Linked DNA regions of Tamandua tetradactyla. The protein of the gene in region 2 purifies or fractionates together with the protein of the main gene of each other region. This does not show direct contact. Links are inferred from orthologs where the notes say so. Each region holds a gene or a part of one and is shown on either strand. Other genes may lie near its edges.

Region 1 (7,799 bases), on a different chromosome or scaffold from region 2:
TGTGTGCCTGTGTGTTCCTCTGCCTTCCCAAGGAAGTGGACGCTGCCCACCACGTGTGGTCTGTTCACAGCTGTAGCCTCATCAGGCAGCCCAATACCCAGTACTCCATAAATATAAATTCCTGTGGAACAAGTTCAGCTTCACTGACCTCAATGCAGTAACATTTAAAACTGCAAGGATTAAACAAACAAACAAAAAAAGCTAAATTAACTGATGAAGTTAAAAAAAAAAAAGCACACTCACCATCCCCTCTTTACCACTTTGTCCCTCAATCTCCCCCTTCCAATGCAGTGACTGTGGGGGGCAGAATAAAGCCCCACCAGGATGTCCACTACCCAATCCCTGGAATCACCAAGTATTATGCAGCTTCATGAAGCAAAAGGGAGCCTGCAGATGTGATCTGGGTAAGGACCTAGAGAACACCTGGGCAGACTCAATATAATAACATCGATCCTTGAAACTCAGAGAATCTCTCCGGACTGTGAGAGAGGGAAAGGAGACTATGAAAGAAAAATCAGGAAGAAGGACCCTCACTGGCCCTGAAGATGGAGGAAAGTACTAGATGGGGAAAGCCTCTAGAAGATGGAAAAGGCAAGGAAATGGTTCACTTCTAGAGTGTCCAGAAATGAAGATACCCCTGCTGACACCTTGATTTTACCTAGTCAAGTCACCATGTCAGAACTTTGGACCTACAATACTGTCAGATAACAAATTTCTGTTGTTTTAAGCCATTACATTTCTTGCAATTTGTACCAGCAAATCTGGTATCTTTGTTCAAATATTACCTTCTCAGCACGGGCTCCCCTAACCACTCTTTTTAAAATTGTACTCCACATTTCTCTTATTTTTCCTCATAGTATTTATCCCTGTTTCACATATTATTCAATTTACTTATTTTGCTTACTGTTTATCTCCCAGCCCTAGTCTGATAAGCACCACAAAGCCAGGAAATGTCCTTCTCATCCTCTGCTAAACACCTGTGCCAAAGACAGTGCACAGCTGAGGCTCCAGATATTTGCAGGCCCACTATCACATCGTGTTTGTTTCCTGCCCACCATGTCTCATATGTGTGACTATATTTAGCTGTCGACATGCTTCACACCTGTCTCCTGAAGAGCAACCAGTGTCACTGCTATTGCCCCAGCACCATACCTGAGGCTCAGCAGATGTTTACTGAACACGTGAATTCACACAACTGCCTGGCCGACAAGACATTTATCCCCATTTGTCAGAAGAAACCAAGACTCACCTAACTTGTCCATATCAATCAGCAAGAAGTTGAAGAGAGAGGAGTACAAACTGACCAAGCAGTCAGCTTACTCCTTGCATGCCTCCCCACTCCCTCCTGGGTCCTGACTAATCTTGCAGCTCTGGGACTGCACACAAAAACAACTCCAACTGCAAGGGGGTGAGGGGTGGGGAGCACCGGACCGCCGACAAGACAAATGGAAAAAGGACAACTTTAGGCCCCAACAATTGTAAACAGCAACTTCACCCCCGAGCTTCCTCTCCCCTCACCTGGCTACCCAGGCACCTGAGAAGCTCCTAATTGGGAGGTTCCTTAGCTCCCTCCTTCTTTCTCCTGGCCCTTACAGCAAAAGAAAACATTCCGAACCAGGTGGTCCAGAAGGCAACCAGTAAATCCCTGCTCACATTGAAGGAACCAACCAGGCCTAACTGCAACCTCAGCAAATCCCTTCCCCCATCCCAGTGATAAAACCCCTTGCTATCTTCCTAGGCTTTTCCTCCAACCCACCTCCAGTCCTTAAAAACCCGGCTTTCCTTTTTTCCGCAGAGTTGAATTTAACTCTCTCCCTTTGCTGTAACAGCCACTGGATAGTCATTCTTGCCTGTTTAACACCGTCAAGTGCCATTTTTCACTCGACAAAGGGGAGCCTGTCTGACTCCAGAATGAGAGCGAGGCACCCAAAACCTCCGAGCCCTGCCCGGCCTTGGAACATTTCCCAGTGCATCCCCCTCGATTTTATAAGTGGGAATCTGAGGACGAGATGGAGGATGGGAGGCTTCACGCACTGTTCACAATAATTACGGCTAATATTTGCTGGGCCCTTACAATCGGCCAGAAGCCGTCTGTTTTACTAATATTTTTAACGCAATCAGTCCTCACAATCACCCAGTGAGGCCAGGACTATATCACCCCACACTGCCTGGAAAAGAGGCTCAGAGCGGTGAAGTAACTCGCCCAAAGTCACGCAGCGTGTGGGCGGTGGAGCTGTGACCGGCCCCCCAGGTCTATCAGGAAGCCCTAAGCCGGCTCAAAGCCCCCCTATATATAACACTCCCCCAACAACCCACTCAGGAGAAAATCGTGAGCCGGCTGAGGAAAGTGGGGGGATAGGGTGGAGGGGAAAGGGGGCGGGTTGCTACAGTGCTGGCTTCCCCCCGGTGCGCCCTCCTCCTCTTTGAGGGTGTACATCAAAATGGGAGAGGAGGGCAGGAATGGCGAAGGCAGCCCATTCTGGGGGCCCACGCCGCGGCCCCGCGGAAACCCAAGAAGAAGAAATCACACCCAAGTCCTGGCCAACACGGCCGCGCCCGCTCCCCGCCCAGTCAAGGGGCCACTCCGGGACCTCCGCCAATCACGGGGCCCTACCCACCCTCATCCCGTGCCCCCACCCCGGCCTCCCAGACCCCCGGCTACCGCGCGCGTTCGGCAGGCCCAGGACCCTCCAGGCGCGCCCATGCTCCCACCCCCCCGCTGCGCCGACTCCCAATCCGTAGCGCCGTCTCATGGGGTCCGGGGACCCAGAGGGATGAGAGCTGGACGCTGATTGGCCGCCAACTCGGCCGCCACTCCAGGCGAAAGGCGATCCCCTCCGCGAGGGCCTCCAAGGGCCTCCATGTCTCCCTTGCCGTCTTCCCCGAGCCCCTACAGCCTTCTTACTTGCACATCTTCATTGCGGAGCTCATCTATGAGCACCGCGATGGGGTAGAGCGAGTCATCGCCGTCGGCCGCCGCCATCTTGGCTCCGTTCCGTTCGGGTCAGACCGCAACCAGCACAGTGCTGTGGTGGGGCGGGGCCGGGGGCGGAGGAACGGCGAGCGAGGGGGCGCTCGGGCCAATTTACAGGGGCCGCCCCGCGCTCATTGGCTGCGCTACGCCGGATGTAGCCCGCGTTTCTTTGGTCCGAGTAAATCAAGTCCCGCCCACTGCCCATTTGCCATTGGTTGAATGGACGAGCTTGGGTTGGCCGGAGCCTAGCAAGGGGCGGGGGGAACCGCAATACCAGGTATCTTAGCAACCAGCCGCCTACGTTGCCGCTGGCAACGCGAGATGAACAGTGGTTTCTACATCGAGGGGCGGGACCGGGCGGAGGCGTAGCCCGCCCTTGGCGGAGTCCGGGAGAAGGCTTCTGTGCGTGTGCCGCCTGGAGCGCATGACGTCACCTAGGGGTGGGGTCCCCACGCATTTTGGGGTGTCGGGCGGTGGCGCTGGAGTACCTGTGAGGGAATTGAAGGGAGCGGGAGGTCCTCAGGTTATCCCTGGGATGGAGGAGACTTGCCTGGTTCTCTGAGTAAAACCCAAGAACCCCGTGGATCCGACCCGCTCGCCCTCTTAGCCACATCTCGCTCCTCCCCGCCTGAGCACTTCCTGCTTTTTTTAGCCTACAAGCCTTTCCCAAGTCGCACTTCAAACTCCTTAGAGTGCAGCCCCTGTTCACTCGTCAGATGTCTCCATAGAGGTCTCCCCTGTCTTCCCTACCTTCTGCCTTCGTCCTCTGGGCCTCCCTCCAGCAAGAAAAAACCCTCCCGGGGCCTGGGGCTGTCGTTCTGAGTGGCCGTCTGTCTCTTCAGGGTGGGCGCGGGGCGTACCTCACTCCACACGGTCACCCCACCCCTCCCGCAGCCTCGGGACCACCCTGTGGGCGGTGGGAATGGGAAGCCCACTTGGTCATTCCCACCTGAAGGGTGAGGCTGAGCCAGGACCCCCCTCAACGGGTCTGCACACCCCCACCCACTCGGGTCAGGAAACTACTACGTGTTAAGAGTGCATGTGTGAGACTCGGGGTATTTCAGCCCCTGCCTTCCGTGTTCCCAGGCTTGCCCACCCGAGCCCACCGAGGCTGTGGATCTTAGCTGGGGGTTAGGGACGGTTGCCTGCTGTGATGCTGGACTGCTCGGGTTTTGTTTGGGTTGGGGGGTTTTATCTTTTGGGTACCCAGCGCAGAGGAATTTTCAAAAAAAGCCGCTGAGGCTTTTTTTTTTTTTTAACAGCTCTTTAAAACACAAGGAAACTTAGGATTTAATAAATTAATATGTATTCCAGGAGAAATAGCTAGGTTCTATGAGGCTTTGCTTTTTTTTTTTTTTAAATCTCATACAAAACTTTGGGAAAGAACAAATGATTGGCTCCAAATGCCCAAGGAAAATTGTTAGTTTAATAAGTATTTTCTTAAGAAATGTCCATGCAATGACAACATGAATGCCAAATGATGTGCACTTAAGTATAATGAATTGCACTTCCTCCCACAACCCTATGAGATAGGTAAAGAACCATTATTGCTACCATTTTATGGATGAGAAAACTGAGGCATAGAGAATTTAAGAAATTGTTTCAGATCTCTCGAATGGTAATAGGGCAGCTGAAATTCAAATCTGAGCTGACCCTGATGTCCTACTTGAATAAAATGAAAGCTTTATGTAATAGTATAAAAATTATACCTAGTTTGAGATTTGGGATTATTTTGCTACGTCTGAGCTCATTTCAGGGTAGGGGTACAGTCAAACAAAGCCAGGAGATTCTTGAACAATGAAACATTCTTTGCTTTATGTCTTGCCTTTTCTTTCCTGATCATCATTCTCTAATGTCTAAAATGGGACAATCCACTATTTGGAGGAATAAACTGGGGGTGGGGTGGGGTGTGTACACTAACGATGGATTATTAAGCAACTCCTCATAAGAACCAGTTAGATCTCTATGTACTAAGAGGAAAAGTCGAAGATCTATGCTATGCTAACAATGGAAATTGCAGAGTAATATGTTTGGCATGAAGGGGTATGTGTCTGTGGACGTGTGTGTACATGGGTATGTCTGGATAAGAATGTAAGCAGCTCTGGAAGAATATGCACCAAGATAGAACATTGCTTACTTTGAGGGTAGAACAGGTCAAGAGAAAAAACTTTTTTTTTCCATCCCACTTTGTTTTTATTTTGTCTATCTGAACTTTTATAATAGCCAGATGATGCCTTTGTGATTAAAACGAAAGTCATTACAACCAATGATCATGGTTGTTACTAGTTTGCTAGTTGCTGGAATGCAATATACCAGAAACAGGATGACTTTTTAAAAGGGGAATTTAATGAGTTGCTAGTTTACAGTTCTAAGGCCGAGAAAATGTCCCAATTAAAACAAGTCTATAGAAATGTCCAATCACAGGCATCCAGAGGGAAATACCTTGGTTCAAGAAGGCCGATGAAATTCAGGGTTTCTCTCTCAAATGAGAAAGCACGTGGCAAACACCGTCAGGGTTTCTCTCTTGGCTGAAAGGGCACATGGCAAATACGATGTCATCTGCTAGCTTTCTCTCCTGGCTTCCTGTTTCATAAAGCTCCCCAGGAGACGTTTTCTTTTTTCATCTCCAAAGGTCACTGGCTGGTGAACTCTCTGCTTCTCGTGGCTGCGTAATCGTCTGCTCCAAAATGTTTCCTCTTTTATAGGATTCCATAAACTAATCAAGACCCACCCAAATGGGTGGAGACACGTCTCCACCTAACCCAGTTTAACAACCACTCTTGATTAAATCACATCTCCAGGGAGATGATCTGATTACAGGTTCAAACATACATAATCCTATTAGAAATAGGGATTAGAAGAAATGGATGCCCTTACAAAATGGGATTAAGATTAAAAAATGGCTTTTCTAGGGTACATACATCATTTCAAACCAGCACAATGGCATTATTCACAATTGCCAAAAGATGAAAGCAACCCAAGTGTCCATTAACAGAGGAATTAAGAAACAAAATGTGGTCTGTATTAGTTAGGGCTCTCTAGAGAAACAGAATCAACAGGAAATATTCATAAATATAAAATTGATTAAAGTATTTCACGTAATCATGGGAATGTAGAGTCCACAATCCGCAGGGCAGGCTGTGAAGCTCATGATTCTGATGGAGGGTCTGGATGAACTCCACAGGAGAGGCTCGCTGGTGGAAGCAGGAAGAGATCCTGTCTCTTCTGAATCCTCCTTGAAAATCTTCCAGTGATTAGATTAAGCATCACTCATTGCAGAAGACACTCCCCTTGGTTGATCACAAATGGAATCAGCTATTCATGTAGCCGACATGATCATGATTTAATTCTATGAAATGTCCTCATAGCAATAGGCAGGCCAGCACTTACCCAACCAGACAAACAGGTACCACCACCTGGCCAAGCTGATACATGGACCTGACCACGACAGTGGTCTGTCTATCCAGCAGAAAATTATTCAGCCAGAGGAAGGAATGAAGGTATGATACAGGTGACAACATGGCTGAACCTCGCAGACATCATGTGAGAGAAATAAGGCTATAGACACAAAAGAATAAATATTATATGGTCTCATTTATATGAAAACATTAGAATATGCAAATTCATAGAGTCAGAAACTGGGAGACAGGTTACCAGGGGCCAGGGTAGTGGTCAGGGAACGGGGAGTTAATGCTTACTTGGTACAGCATTTCCATGTGGACTGATGGAAAAGTTTTAGTAATGGTGGTGATAGGAGCCCAATATTACAGATGCAATTAGCACCATTAGCTGTCCATTTCTGAGTTTTTACATTCAGTCCTGTTGCACAATCTGTATCCTTTCAGCTCCAATTACCCAATATCTTACTCTATTTCTATCTCCTGATGGTCTCTGTTACCAGTGAAATTCTCCAAGTTTATTCACTAATGTCAGTTGATATCATTGAGACCATACATTATTGGTCCTTTTGTTTCTGGCTAATCTCACTCAGCATAATGTCCTTAAGGTCCATCCATGTTGTTACATACTTCATAAGTTTATTCTGTCTTAAAGCTGCATAATATTCCATCTTATGTAAATGTCACAGTTTGTTTAGTCAACTCTCTGTTAATGGACATTTTGGCTGTTTCCATCTCTTCGCAATTGTAAATAATGCTGCTATAAACACTGGTGTGCAAATGTCTGTTTGTTGTCCTTGCCCTTATGTCCTTTGAGTAGATACCTAGCAATGGTATTGCTGGGACATATGGCAATTCTATATTTAGCTTTTTGAGGAATTGCCAAACTGCCTTCCACAGTGGTTGCACCATTTGACATTCTCATCAACAGTGGATAAGTGTGCCTCTTTCTCCACATCCTCTCCAGCACTTGTCATTTTCTGTTTTGTTGATAATGGCCATTCTGGTGGGCGTGAGATGATATTATCTCATTGTTGTTTTGATTTGCATTTCTCTAATAGCCAGGGAAGTTGAGCATCTCTTCATGTGCCTTTTGGCCATTTGTATTTCCTCTTCTGAGAAGTGTCTGTTCAAGTGTTTTGCCCATTTTGTAATTGGGTTGGCTGTCTTTTTGTTGTTGAGTTGAACACTCTCTTTAACAATTCTGGATACTAGACCTTTATCTGATATGTTGTTTCCAAATATTGTCTCCCATTGTGAGCACCACTGAATTTTGTATTTGAAAATGGCTCAGATGGGAAATGCTGTGTTGTATATATATTACCTGAATAAAAATTTAAAAAGTCCACAGATTTGTATAACATGAACCGTGAACCCTAATGTGAACTATGGACTATGGTTAATGGTATAGTAGTAATATTGTTTCA
Region 2 (7,313 bases):
AGGTGAGAAGACAGGGCAGGTCAGGCCCTCAGCACAGAGGAGTCCCAGCCTTTGCCAGCTTGGCTCTTGCTCAGTCAGTTCTGCTCCCCACTGCCTCTGAACTCCAAGTGACCCAGATGCAGACACTGTCCACACCTCTGGGCCACACTGCTCGCCACCATGTGCCAGCCAGGCCACACCCAGACCGAGCCCTGGCACAGCTTCATTCCCCAGGAAGACGGCTCTGCTTCGCCTGTCTTCCTGCCAGCATTCTTTACCGCCTGTAACAATATCATCCATCCTGCAGACCTGATCTCACGCTGCAATTCTGACGTGCCTTCTCCCTACCTGAGCAGTCAGGACACCTGACTGCTCAGCCCCTTAGTGGGACTTACTCCGCGGAGCTTTGAGTTACAGTCACCTGGCGCCTCTGAGGGTCTGCACTCTGGGGGCAGGAGCCACAGGCTATTTATCCTCACACCCCTGTGACTCCACATTCATGGTCTCAATAACATGTGGTGGGTTCAGTTAAACTGATAGACCATTACCAAAGCTGTCAAGACGTTCTGTCTCGTAACTCCTACAAAGAATTTAACCTAAAGAAATGCTCCCACACAATCAAAAATACACAGACAAGGTCTGCTCTCAAACCTACGAGGACCCACGGGCTCAGTGTCTGGGCCTCAATCTCTCTAATAGATCTACCCCACAGGATGCTGTGGGGCCATTAAAGACAACCCCTGGGAAGCTCACACAGAAGCGTAGGGAAAACAAGAGATTCGCACCACGGTAAAAACACCTGTGTGCGTAGTGAAATCATGATCGAGCTTCTATTCTTCTTTTAGGTCTTTAATGTTGTAATGCGTTTTCAACTGGAAAAGGCGGGGGTAAAACGCTTTACTGTTTGCACCTGGGTGGGGAGATACACGCGAATGCAGACCCAGCCTCTCCAGGTGAGGGGACACACGAGGTATCCCAGCCACGAGAGAAGAGCCTCACCTGCCACACTTGCCACTGGTCCCTGTGCTCAGGGTAGCTCCTGCAGAGCAGATGCTCACCAAACGACTACCAGGTTAACTAAAGCTCCCACAGGAGAGCAGCTGGCAGCAGGCTAGGGGTGCACTGACCCTCATGCAGCAGCTTCTTCTGTACCCCTTCCCTGAAGGTGGGGAGAACACAACGGCGGAGGTCCTCCTCTCACCCCACACGTCACAGCTGATGAAGCATCTGCACACAGCAGTCTTGTTAACTCCTAAACCCTATTACTTTTCACCCCAACTTTACAGAGAAGGCCAACAAGGCTCACTGACCTGTCCAATGTCAGAAACTTGCTCTTACAATGTGACTGTGTCATTCTAGATCTCCCTGTGTGCTGCCCCCACCCCACCTCTCTCCTAGGCCATCTCGCCCTGGGCCACCTTAGTATTTCCCTGATTCTTGTCAAGGAATTTAGAAGTGAAGGTGGAATAAAGGCACCTGTACGAGAGGTGCTTTGGAGAATGAATTCTCAGATGAACAAACTGCCCTGTTAAGACATCTAGTCTCATCCGTCCTCTCTCAGGACCCTGACGGTGCTAAGCCTGGGAGGTGTCCACTAAACGCTGCTGGACTCACGAGGAACAGGGTACGTGCTCTGAGGAGCCCAGGGCCTACTTTACCTTCAATCGGTACCACAGATGGTTCTTTAATGGAAGGAGAAATAGCTCGTTTTTCTGCCACTGCAGCCTCAGCCAGGCGCCCCAGGGCACTCAGAGGTGGTGTGGAGGAGAGTTTGGGGCGTTTGGTGAGGCCAGTCAGGCCTGAGGAACCCGATAAAGCAGCTGCAGCATCCCGCTTGCGCTCTGAAGGCAGGCCGGAAGGGGCTGGCTTCAGGAGGGTAGATGCTGTTTTCGATTCATTGGCCTGACCCTTTGAGCCCAGAGCAATGAAATCTCCTGGAGGAGGGTGTCCTGCACAGAAGGGAAAGAGAATACATCCAATCTCCTGTTATTTCAGAGAGAGTTAAACAATGATGAGAGAAGGCACAAAACAAGCCCGAGGCTACTTAGCAAGTCAACAGCTAAACTGAGACTGGTATAATGTAGTATCAAGGATGACCAGCAGTTATGCAAAGCTTACCACTTACAAGTATTAGTTTATTTAATCCTTATGAGTTTCCAAACAGGGTAAAGGACAAGGAGCCCCAGAGAGGCTGAACATGCCCAGGGGTGCAGAGGGTGGAAAGACAAAACCGGAATGCAACTCCAGAGCCTGAGTTTTTAACCACCTTCCTGACGCTGCCCTCAACTACATTATTCTCCGATTCCTGCCTAGAGCCTTGGATGCACCACCTGAAACAAGGTGACAGTCTCCCAGGGGAGGCCACAGCGTCCAAAATCCACCAAGGACTCCAGAAGCTCTTAGGACCGAGGTTTCTTTCTAGACCTCATTGCTAGAAACATACTTTACTGCTAAATAAGCTCCAACTTAGGCCAAAGGGCAAAGCTGAGAAGTCCCCAAAGAGCCCGTTGCTGCTCTCACTCGCCTGAAGGTTTGGCCGCCGCGCTGGGCCTCCGGACGGCGGCAGGCTTGGCACGGTTCATTCTGTCCCCTTCCCCTCGCTGCTGCTGTGTCACCTGAAAGACAGCGCGACATCATTCATTCATTCCTTCCCCTGCCGTGCAGGGACTGAGGACCTAGGGGACGAACGGGGCCCGAAGTCTGCCCGGCGGGGCGTTTCTCAAAGGGGCTGCCTGAGACACCGGCACCCACGCCGCCTGCAAGGGGGCTCGATCGCGCCGGGAGCCGCGAGGCACGGGCCGGGGCGGCTGCCGAGGGCGCGTGGGCCGGCCGAGGCGCCCCGAAGCCTAAGGGAAGACGGGCCGGGCAAGGAGCAAAGAGCCAGCTCCGCCCGGCGGCAAGGGCGAGGCCAGGGCCCCTGCCCACTCACCTCCAGCCCATCGCCTAGGCCACCCGAGCGCCTTCCCGGCCGCTCCGGCCGCCCCGGAACCGGAAACGCTTGCTCCCGCTCTCCGCGCTCCCACTTCCGGAATTGTGGGAAGCAAAACAGCGCGGCGGGAGGCAGAGGAGAGGCGGGCGGGCGGCGCCCTCGCCGTGCCTGCAGCGCCCTCTGGCGGCGGGGCAGCCGCTCAGGACACTGCAGCTTCCGCGAGCGGCCAGAGCCGGCGAGTGCCCGCCCCGCCGAGTGCCCGCCCTTGCGCGTGCCCGCCCTTGCGGGTGCCCGCTCCGCCGAGTGCCCGCTCCGCCGCGCAGCCCGCGGGGAGTACGACTGGTCGGCTGTACAGACGGGCCCCGCCGGGCCTCGGGGCTCGGACGCCTCAGGGACGGGCGGCGGGCCTGGAGTGCCCCGCGGTGGCGGCGAGGGGGAGGGAGCGCAGGAGCCCGGCGAACCCCGGGCTCAGCCTGGGACCACCACCCCCGAGCCCCAGACCTGGGCCCTGCAGGAGCCGCGGCGAGAAGGGGCGCCGGGAAGGGGCGCGGGGTCCGGCGGGGAAGGGGCGCGGGGTCCGGCCGGGACGGCGGGGAAGGGGCGCGGGGACGACGGGGAAGGGGCGCGGGGTCCGGTGGGGACGGCCGGGAAGGGGCGCGGGGACGGCGGGGAAGGGGCGCGGGGACGGCGGGGAAGGGGCGCGGGGACGGCCGGGAAGGGGCGCGGGGTCTGGTAACGTTGAAAGTTCCCATAGCTTGTAACTCAGCAGGTTCACTTTGAGAGCAGTGTGGAGCAGTGCTACCCGATGTGCGCGGGAGGACCTCTCCTGCAGCCCTGAGCTGGGGCCTGCTTGAACCGCTGGTTGGAGCGGATGGAGCCCAGCATTTCCTGGCTCTGCATCCAGTGACATCATGCTGCTGGCTTGAAATCAGTCAATGCAGGAATATCTGCACCACAGAAATTAGTAAACACCACAAACCGGGACGGCGGGGAAGGGGCGCGGGGTCCGGTGGGGACGGCAGGGAAGGGGCGCGGGGTCCGGCGGGGAAGGGGCGCGGGGGCGACGGGGAAGGGGCGCGGGGTCCGGTGGGGACGGCCGGGAAGGGGCGCGGGGTCCGGTGGGGACGGCCGGGAAGGGGCGCGGGGTCCGGCGGGGAAGGGGCGCGGGGGCGACGGGGAAGGGGCGCGGGGTCCGGTGGGGACGGCAGGGAAGGGGTGCGGGGACCGGTGGAAGGGGTGCGGGGAAGGGGCGCGGGGTCCGGCGGAAGGGGGCGGGGAAGGGGCGCGGGGTCCGGTGTGGACAGGCCGGGGAAGGGGCGCGGGGTCCGGCGGGGACGGCAGGGAAGGGGCCCGGGGACCGGCGGGGAAGGGGCGCGGGGTCCGGCGGAAGGGGGCGGGGAAGGGGCGCGGGGTCCGGTGTGGACAGGCCGGGGAAGGGGGCGGGGACCGGCGGGGAAGGGGCGCGGGGTCCGGCGGGGACGGCAGGGAAGGGGCCCGGGGACCGGCGGGGAAGGGGCGCGGGGTCCGGCGGAAGGGGGCGGGGAAGGGGCGCGGGGTCCGGCCGGGACGGCGGGGAAGGGGCGCGGGGTCCGGCCGGGACGGCGGGGAAGGGGCGCGGGGTCCGGCGGAAGGGGGCGGGGAAGGGGCGCGGGGTCCGGTGTGGACAGGCCGGGGAAGGGGGCGGGGACCAGCGGAAGGGGCGCGGGGTCCGGCGGGGACGGCAGGGAAGGGGCCCGGGGACCAGCGGAAGGGGCGCGGGGTCCGGCCGGGACGGCGGGGAAGGGGCCCGGGGACCAGCGGAAGGGGCGCGGGGTCCGGCCGGGACGGCGGGGAAGGGGCGCGGGGTCCGGTGGGGACGGCGGGGAAGGGGCGCGGGGTCCAGCGGGGACGGCGGGGAAGGGGGCGGAGACAGCGGGGAAGGGGTACCCTCAGCCCCAGGCACCCACCTGCAGACGGGGTCCGGGAATGAGGCCTTCGAGAGGGTCTTGCCACTGGGCTCCTTTGAGGGAAGAAGACTCAGAAACTCCGAGTCTTTTGGGAGGCAGCAGGCAGAGACGTGTTGGTGGCAGGCCCCTCCCGCGTCCAGAGAGGAACAGAGGCAGGGTACCTCCATCCCGGGGTGGGGGTTGTGCCCACGAGGGGCCCCCTCCCCTCCCATCTGCCCCCCCCCCAGGGTCCGGGGCCCTCTGGCTGTAGCCCCCCAACTCCCCAGGATCAAGCCAGCAGGAGCCCATCCCAGCTCAGAGGCCTGTGGGAGCCCGAGAGAGGGTCCCTGGGCAGTGGGGGTGGCCTCTTCTTGAGGGAAGCTGGGGCGGGACGAGGCGGACTTGACCGCCCTGCGCCCTCCGGTACGGGGAAGCCACACGCCCAGCCCCAGGCCTTCCACGGAGCCTTCCTTGAACCCCCACGGCCACCCGCCTGCCCCGGCCCTCCCAGGGCTCCAGGCCACCCCCTGCCCACCCCTGGGAGACTATGGGGGTCCCTTTGTCCCAGCTGCCCGGAGGCTGGGGCAGGGAAGGGATTCACCTGGTGGCCAAGCCCAGCAGTGGCTGTGTGGTCGCGGACCCCAGAGCCCCGGCTCTGCCCCCTGGAGCTCGGCCGCTTAGGCCTTCCCACCCTGGCTGCAGGGCCGAGGCCAGGCAGCCCGAGCCCCACCCCCCACATCTGGGGCCAGGAGACTGTGGTAGGGGCTGCGGGCGGTGCGGGGGCTAGGACACTGCTGTACCCCTGCCCGGCTGCCACGTGGGCCTCAGCTCCAGGGGTGGCACAGGCGCCCTGGGGCTTCCTGGGGCCGGGGCAACATGGACAGGGCAAGGCGATGGAGGGAGGACAGGTGACTCCTCAGTCTGCCAGATGTTGGCATCGCGTCGGAGGGTCCAGCAGGCGAAGCCCCCGACACAGGCGTCCCTCCGTGTCCCCTACCTCCTGGTGTGCGCCCTGGAGGCAGGGCTGCGCTCAAGGTGGGGGCTCAGAGGGGATTGCTGATTGGACACCCAGGCGAGGGCAGGTGAGCCCCCCAGGCCTGCGGGTGGGAGGGGTGGCGGGTGGCTCGGGGATGCGTTAGGAGGACACAAGAACCATCCCCTCTGCACTGAGCCCTGAACCCCCCACATGGGGGTTGCCTGAGACCCCCCACAAAACCCGCAGCCGACAGGCACTGGGGGGGCTGCTTCTGTGATGATGCCTCAGACCCCGGGGTGCACGGGGGCTCCCCAGCTGGACGGGCAACATCACAGGCGGACAGTCGGCCCTGGCTGCTGGTGCACGAGTTCCAGCCCAGCCTCCCTCCAGGGGTGGGGAAGGGGTGCAGCCTGACCCCTTGCCCCTGTGACCCCTGACCCCAGCACCTCGGGCCTCTAGCCATTCCCAGACCAGGAGGATTCTGGGTCCCCTTCACTGCCGGGTGCCCCGAGGCATCACTGCACTGGGGACAGGGCAGGAGGGCGCCCTGGCCGCCCCAGGGCCTCGGTGCATGTGGGCGCTGGGTTTGGAAGCCAGAAGAGGCGACCATGATGAGTCCACCCCACTCTCTCCTGCTCCTGTTTGCTGAAGCTCCGGATGCCATCCGCCAGCCACAGTCAGCTTCAGCAGTGGGGATTTATTAGCTTACAATTGACAGGTCTAAGGCCGTGAAATTGTCCAGTGCAAGGGGTCAGCAGGATGATACCTGGCCTCTGCAGGCTGCCGGCATCGGGGCAGCAGTTGGTCCTTCTCTCCCGGGCCTCCGTCTAAGCTTCCACAGGCCCTCTCAGCTCCTTGGGGCTTTTCTCTGGGCTCTCTGGGCTCTTCTGTCTTTTTTCCTCATATAGAACTCTAGTAAAGGGCTAAGGTCCACCTTGAATGGATGGGGTCCCAGCTCCAGGGACACCACCTAAGCAGAGGGACCACCCGCAGCAGGCCTGTGCCGCAGGAGTGGGTTAAAAGGGCCTAGTGAAAGCGTTGCCCTCCCCCTGTGTGGGACATGACGTCCAGAGGTGAAAGTCCCTGGCGATGTGGGAGAGGACTCCCAGGGATGAATCCAGACCTGGCACTATGGGATCAACAATTCCATCCTCACCAAAAGGGGGGAAAGAAGTTTAATGAAGTATCAGTGGCTGAGGGAGTTCAGAGTCCAGAGACTACTCAAGGTCATTCTTAGGCAAGCTTCAGGCAGACCTTGCTACCTGTCATAACCTGCCAACCCCAACCAGGACCATTCCTGCCAATCCTAAAGAACACCTAGGGCGATATATAAGATGCCACATGGGTCCAGGCACTAGAGTAACTTTCCAGAAACCTACAACCTCTAGATGGGTCCCTGGTCCAGATAAGTCCTGACACCTAGAGGGCCCAGCCTCTCCAGAACATCAGGTAGTTCCATCTCCCTACCCCATATTAGTGACAGCCCCTTCCAACGTGAAAAAGT

The links. The genes of interacting proteins can lie anywhere in the genome.
Region 1: the proteins of INTS1 (region 2) and PPP2R1A purify together in Homo sapiens (affinity purification with mass spectrometry; 4 studies listed by BioGRID and IntAct, with this or other methods). This does not show direct contact. The link is inferred for Tamandua tetradactyla from reciprocal best matches to the Homo sapiens genes INTS1 and PPP2R1A.

What each region holds. Positions count from the first base shown.
Region 1 is NC_135342.1:8,986,198-8,993,996, reverse strand, and holds the start of PPP2R1A (serine/threonine-protein phosphatase 2A 65 kDa regulatory subunit A alpha isoform), read right to left. Parts: upstream 3,068-7,799; 5' UTR 2,984-3,067; coding exon 2,906-2,983; intron 1-2,905. UniProt on the Homo sapiens protein: The PR65 subunit of protein phosphatase 2A serves as a scaffolding molecule to coordinate the assembly of the catalytic subunit and a variable regulatory B subunit.
Region 2 is NC_135349.1:1,062,555-1,069,867, forward strand, and holds the start of INTS1 (integrator complex subunit 1), read right to left. Parts: upstream 3,023-7,313; 5' UTR 2,909-3,022; intron 2,595-2,908; 5' UTR 2,562-2,594; coding exon 2,504-2,561; intron 1,929-2,503; coding exon 1,638-1,928; intron 1-1,637. Other genes in the region: uncharacterized protein LOC143667835, read left to right, coding at 3,820-3,828, 4,213-4,830, 4,920-5,915. UniProt on the Homo sapiens protein: Component of the integrator complex, a multiprotein complex that terminates RNA polymerase II (Pol II) transcription in the promoter-proximal region of genes.